Linked DNA regions of Caenorhabditis elegans. The protein of the gene in region 1 interacts with the protein of each later gene in a pairwise test. Each region holds a gene or a part of one and is shown on either strand. Other genes may lie near its edges.

Region 1 (3,289 bases):
GATCACCCTGTTTTGATTTTTCTGGGTTTTTTGACAATCGTGTTTTTTCAAAATCTTTTTTTTCACTCGGGAATCGTTCGCCCACTATGGGGGAGTCTGCGCAAGGACAAGCAAGGACAAGGACAACATTCTAATGGAATGGAAACAACTGCCCGACTGCACCAATTCTAGTTCAAGCGAACAATGATAACTTTTGTATTCTGTATTCCTTCACGTCTCCCAGCGAGCGTAATAAATTATTATTATTATTCTCACCTCTGTGAATTCATTGTATATCTTGGAAGTTTCAACGCGAAGTTTTTGGAATTGAGACATCAAACTGCTTGTCTCCGACATTTTTAAATCTGAAAAAAAAAAGCTTTTTGATAATTTTTGAAATGCAAAGAAGTTCCTAGTTAACTTTTCTAATTTCCCAGGTAAATTCGAGAAAAAACTCTCTAAAAACTGAACAAGAACCGAAAACCAAGAAAGTTGCTTTTATTTTTGAGTAAATCAAATATCCAAATGATTGCAGAATCATTTTTAAAAAAAATCTGTGAAAAGCGAACAATTTTAGTTAACAATTATTTATTCGCAAAATAACAATATCTTGAAAAAAGTGAATGAAAATTAGAATAATTATGATTCAACGAGAGTATAGCCAAATTAATGCGCCTTCTTGAATGTTGTAGTAGGCGAGAGAGTGGTGGTCTTCGAGAAGTTTTCCTGAAATTCGAATTTTATTTTTAAATCTACTTTGAAACCAACCAACCACGAAGCACCATTCTGAACGAGCTGATGTCTACTTTTGCAAGTGAATTGATGCGAAGTTTGATGTGTCGAATTGTATCCGATCCGCACACGCGAAGTTTCCAGTGGTTTTCAGACGCGAATATGCCACACGATTCGGTCCAGATAACCAAAATCTCAAAAAATGGGTCAATTTTTGTCAATTCTACAGTTCCAAGTGGGACGTCTTGCACAGCTGATCCTTCCATAATCTTCATCATAATCTGATCTTGACTTTTCTGAAATTTCAATATCGATTCTAAAATCAGTTTCAAGTTTTTATCCGAATTGTCGATCAATTTTTCCTGAGACTCTTGTTGCTTTTTCGTCTCATTCAGCTCTGCTTTGACAGTCTTCAATTCCGAATTCAAATTTTCGATCGATTTGTTTTGATTTTCCTGGACTTGCTGAAATTCGTCTTGTTTTTTAAAAATCTTCTGGATTATTTCGAGAATCTCAAGAAGATCCTTAATTGATGTCGCCTGTTTCAGTTCTTTTTTCACAGATTTCAACTCCGACATCACGTTCTGCTGAATTTGCTTCATCTCATCGTTGAATTCGAATTGTTTTTCCAAAAGCTTCTCGCTTATGTCCAGAGTCTCTTTGAACAGCGTATAGCTGGGTTTCTGGAAGAAAATTGATGTTCTTATAATGTGTAAGCTCGAAAACTAAACCTCTTTAAACTCATTCTGTATCTTGGAAGCTTCAACGCGAAGTTTTTGAAATTTAGACACCAAATTGCTCGGCTCCGACATTTTGGAATCTGAAAAAAAACATTTTTTGAGATATTGGTGTTTTAGCGGTTACAACAGCATGCTTGCGAATAAAACCACATTTTCTGGCGTAATTAGATATTTTCTAGAACAATTCGGAAAATAAACTCCAAAAATCTCAAGAAAACTGAACAAAATTGAAAAACTGAAAGGAAAAATGTTCACGAACGAAATTTTCGAAGAAACTACGGTAGACGAGGAAGTACGCAGAGTGTTTACGGACTTTGCATTGCAAATGACGCGCATTGCTCATATTAAAAATTTTTTTTTTTTTTTTTTAATTTCAAATCTCTTCTCATTACAGTCTAATGCTTACAAACTGATTTTCAATGCCAGAAAAACGCGAAATGCTTTGAAATATAATATTTTCAGAATTGTTCGCGAAAAATGGACAACTCGAATAATGTGATGTCGAAATTGCAGAAACTTCGACTTGAATCGGTTGGGAAAAAAAGTATATTAAAACATTAAATAAAAATATTTTTTTCCAGAAATTTCCGAACGGCTCCACACTCGTCGAAAATCAATTGCTCTTGGATGTCAAATCGCTTTGCGCAGAACTACTCGAAGAACAGAAGTCGCTAAAGAAGAGACTTCAAAAAGTTGAAGAAAATCAAAAAATTGAGAACGCAAAGATCAAGGAGGAGCTGGAAAATCTGAAGAATGGCGGAAACCGAGTTGCGGACAATTCACTTTTTGAAATTTTCGTGTTCGATGATTACAAGTACCACGCTGTCGAAGTACGAAATTCTTATTTGATTCGTTATGTAAGAGTGAAGGTGGCGAATCTGCTCAACAACGATTTGGTTGAAAGTTTTAATCTGTATTATGGTTTGTTAAAACCAATTTTCATCACAATTTTTAAAACTTTTCAGGTGGTCAGAAGCTTCAGGACAATCGCTCGATTGGATCTTACAATATTGATCAGTCTCGAGAAATTTATCTAAAAAAAAAAAAAAAATTATCTACCCTGCTCTTGAACGTTACTATGATTATTAATTTGTTACCTGCCAATTTGATATAATTTGTTAATCTTATTTTTGTAATAAATTTTTTTTTTGAATATAAACTGGATATGGATTTTTCTATTTTGAATATGAGCATCGTATGGAGAATCAGTTATAAGACAGTTCGAATATTTTTCAGAAAACTTTGAAAACATTTTTCGGGTGATTTTTACAGTTAACTACTGTAGATGATGAAGTACGCAAGGTGTTTGCGGACTTTGCATTACTAATAACGAGCATTGTTTTTCATGATAATTCGTTGAAAAAGAAAAACAACGCGTTGTTTTCTTTCCATTTCTCTGGGTTTTTCAGTATTTAAATTTTAATTTTCAAGTTTTAAAAACTAAATGAATCTTATTTTTAGACTTGCCCACGAAAAATGAGTAACTCGAAGGATTTGATGTCGGAATTCGAGAAACTTCGACAGGAAACTTCCAAAATTCAATATTCCCTCATCCAGGTTAGTTATTATTGATTATTACTTTTAAAATTAATTTATATTTTCCAGAAACTTCCATCCGAGCCGTCCAGCTTCGTGGAAAATCAGCTGCTCCTGGAAACTCAAACACTTTGTGGACAACTTCTGAAAAATCAAGAAGAACAAAATATTCTCAATGAGAAGCTGAGAAATGAGCAGAAAATTATCAAATTGAAGCATAACACAGAGATGAAATCGATGCGAGACAAATTGGAGACACTTACAACTGCCCAGGCGGCGCAAAAATTGGATTTTGAGCGACA
Region 2 (3,324 bases), 1.5 Mb from region 1:
ATCGATTCATCTCAGATCGCATCGTGGTGAAGTATGTTTTCCAGGTGGTCGAATGGATCCAGGAGAAACTACAACTGAAACTGCTCTCCGTGAAACGTTTGAAGAAATCGGGGTTAACGCTGAAAGTGTGGAAATCTGGGGTCATTTGAAAAGTGTGATAAGACGGCAAGCGGATTTCAATGTTACTCCGATTGTTGGATACATTTCCGATGAGCGAGTTCTCGAGAATCTGGTGGTCAACTCTGATGAAGTACAAGCTGTTTTCACGATTCCAATTGATGAACTTATCAAAAAAGCCGGACTAACTAAATTCCAAAGCAAGAGAATGAAGTACACACTGCCTTCGTTCGATTCCACGGAGTTCAAGGTTTATTTTTTAAATAATTTCCGAAAAAATGTTAAGTTTTTCAGGTCCATCACAATGCTCCGAACGAGTATCTTCATTCCACCCAGCGAGTTTGGGGGCTTTCTGGTGTAATGTTGCATCAAGCATTGACCCTGCTGAATCCAGATGTCTATAAGCATGATTTAATTGTGAAATTTTTCTAATTCTTAGGATCTGTGTAGTATTTTTTTTGTTCGTAGAATTGTTGCCATAAACTTCGGGAGACTAAAGATAAAACATTTACAAGTCATAATGGGTGATAAATGTATTCTCGATATTGAAGAACCAACACAAAAGAATTTAAAAGTTGAAAAATACGGTAACCGGTCGGTCTGGGGTGTGGGGATGAGACAGGGAAAAGAGAAACAAATAAATTAGATTAAATTGTATACACTTAATGTTGGGAACGGGGAAAATTTCTCAATCCATACGAGCCTTGATAGTTGAGACGTTAACCTTATCCTTAGTGATTGTGTACACGACTGCTCCCCAACCTGATGCAGCATCACGCTCCAAGCAAGAAAGAATCGACTGAGCAGTAGCCTCGAAGAGCTCATCCGGCTTCATGTTCTCGCGCCAGAAGTCTGTAAAAAGTATTTAAATTGAACGTTAAACAAAATTCAAAAAACTCACTTTCACAAACTCCAAGCAAGTACTCTTGTCCCGTTCCGACAGCAACGAAATCGCGTGGAGCAGATACACATCCGATAGTGTCCATGCAGCAGATATATGGCTTGTTGGTGTCGTCCAAACCAGCAACGAGTGGCTCGGTGAAATAACTGCCAAAGCGGTGCTGATAAGCCAGATTCGAGATCATCTCGGACAACACTTGTGGCTTGATGTTGCGATTCTCACGGAGCTCATACAAATTCTTGCGGAACATAATTTTCTCCAAGACTGTGCGAGCATCGGATTGGAATCCAGCAAGTCCTACGTAGACCTTGTCTGTCACCTTATGCACTTTCTTCTGATCAGTTGCAATTGTTGTCATCTGCTCTCCAATACGAAGATCCGAAGCAATGCACACACATCTGAAAAGATAAGAATAAAATAATATTTCAACCATGAAATTTAAAACTTACTCGTCTCCAGCCATGGCGACGACGGTTCCACCAGTGTAGCTCATAATCGACATTTTTGAGTGTTTTTCTGGTCTTTAAGACGAAGAGATATATCTGAAATTGAAAGAGAGTGTGAGAATGTCTGGAAATTTAATAAAACAGAGAAACAATGAAGTGAAATGAGCGTTTCAATCGTTTGGCGGACATTTTGCTTACAAATAGGAAACTGCGGCAGGGAAAAGTGGGCGGAGACTAATAGCGTGCCAGGGTTGCTGAAGAGAACCTATGGAAATCGACCATTTTCTTCAGACAGAACATGAAAAAAATTAATTAAAAACGCGAATTTATCGACGGAAAAACGCATACACGGTAAGAAAACAATCTGAAGTCAAATAGAAAATTTAGAAACCGTTGCGGAGATGTGAAATGGGTGTACAAAAGGAAAATTGATGGAACAGAATATTGAAATTTTAATAAAAGGAGGAAAAAAGAGTGGAGATCAACTGAAAATATTAAATTGAGTGATCAAGTTATAAAGAAAAAATAACAATTGTCACTTTATGACGGAGAACGCAGAAATAAGGAGAGAGCGTAAAAATGGGAGGATAATAAAATCTTTAAAAAATAAATTAACTAAGAGAAGAAAATACCGGCAATTTTTGAGAGGGGAGACAAATTTTTGATCAAAATGCCTAGTAAGCGATTGGGAAGTTATCCTCCGGAATTCTGAGGCGACGAACAAGTCGAGTTATTGGCATTTCCGCCAATCCACGTGGATTCATGAACGTCGGATCATCGTTCATCACATTTCGGTGTGGCGGGCTCAAGGAATAGTGACGTGCATAATAGTCTCTGTGCCGTTTCGTACGACGTTCATTCACTGCACTATGACGACGTGCTTTCCTAAGAGCTCCTTCACGCGACAATCCACATTTGTTCTCCCTTTCGAACTTGGCGAGACGGCTTCTCGCAGGTTTATCCGCTTGTTGAAGAATCAAATTGTAAACTTTGTCTCGCATCAAGTCACACATTTTATTGGCCTCCGGGAAGAACTTTGACCAGTCAAAGTTTGGAAAATCCTGAATTAAAAGTGTTTATTTATTGTGATGTTTCATGAAGATTTACTTACGTTCACATTGACCGGACGGTTCGGATAACAGAAGAGCCCTTCAATGAAATGCAATACATAAAGTCCACAATCATAAAAGTTGTCTTGGATTGGAGTGTTTTCAGCACGAGTCACGACAACTCTCTCCTCATCGTAAATCGTTGGATTCTTCGACGCAAATTTCATTCCAGGAGCCTTAGTGTTTTCATACAATTGAGCCAAATAAATCTTGATGCAGTGACACATATGATTCTTCTTGCTTGGATCGAGACCACTCAACGGATCGAAGAATACAATATAACACTTCGGAGCAGCTCTGGAAGCTTCCTCATTCGACATATCGACAATTGCACCCGATGGATTGATAACAGCGATGACGAGCCAGTGAAGATCTTCGTTGATCGGAATGATAATATAATCTTTGGCAAGAACATCGAATTTTCGTGTCCAACGGAGAACTCGAGGGCAATTGTCTTTCACGATTTTTATGTGTTCTGGTTCGATTGGTCGTCTTTTGGAGAAGCACAATGGTGGAAGTAGGCGAGTCAGATTGACGAATAAGAACGTGTTGCACATATGCACGGATTTCATTCTGTAATTAAATTATAATTTTTAAAATCCAATGATGTTTAATGAAACTTACAGCTCGGACGAAAGCATAAATGCAATATAATTCAGCATAAATGCCATGACGCTGTCATTCAGGAATTCTTTGCGATCCAGTGTTTTGATATCCTTGACGAGCACTGAAATTCATGGATTCTATGAGG

Evidence for each region. Proteins that work in one complex are often made in the same cells at the same time.
Region 2: the proteins of C16C8.16 (region 1) and pbs-3 interact in a two-hybrid assay, tested with the Caenorhabditis elegans proteins (2 studies listed by BioGRID).

The regions. Positions count from the first base shown.
Region 1 is NC_003280.10:3,444,004-3,447,292, reverse strand, and holds C16C8.16 (Ubiquitin-like domain-containing protein), read right to left. Parts: upstream 1,538-3,289; 5' UTR 1,524-1,537; coding exon 1,443-1,523; intron 1,395-1,442; coding exon 752-1,394; intron 706-751; coding exon 626-705; 3' UTR 551-625; downstream 1-550. Other genes in the region: C16C8.20 (Ubiquitin-like domain-containing protein), read right to left, coding at 256-336; C16C8.5 (Ubiquitin-like domain-containing protein), read left to right, coding at 1,929-1,982, 2,033-2,372, 2,417-2,565; C16C8.4 (Ubiquitin-like domain-containing protein), read left to right, coding at 2,928-3,008, 3,057-3,289.
Region 2 is NC_003280.10:4,953,868-4,957,191, forward strand, and holds pbs-3 (Proteasome subunit beta type-3), read right to left. Parts: upstream 1,561-3,324; 5' UTR 1,521-1,560; coding exon 1,468-1,520; intron 1,417-1,467; coding exon 1,019-1,416; intron 970-1,018; coding exon 806-969; 3' UTR 613-805; downstream 1-612. Other genes in the region: ndx-3 (Nudix hydrolase 3), read left to right, coding at 1-367, 412-549; ulp-2 (Ubiquitin-like protease 2), read right to left, coding at 2,139-2,525, 2,576-3,146, 3,198-3,300. UniProt on the Caenorhabditis elegans protein: Non-catalytic component of the proteasome, a multicatalytic proteinase complex which is characterized by its ability to cleave peptides with Arg, Phe, Tyr, Leu, and Glu adjacent to the leaving group at neutral or slightly basic pH.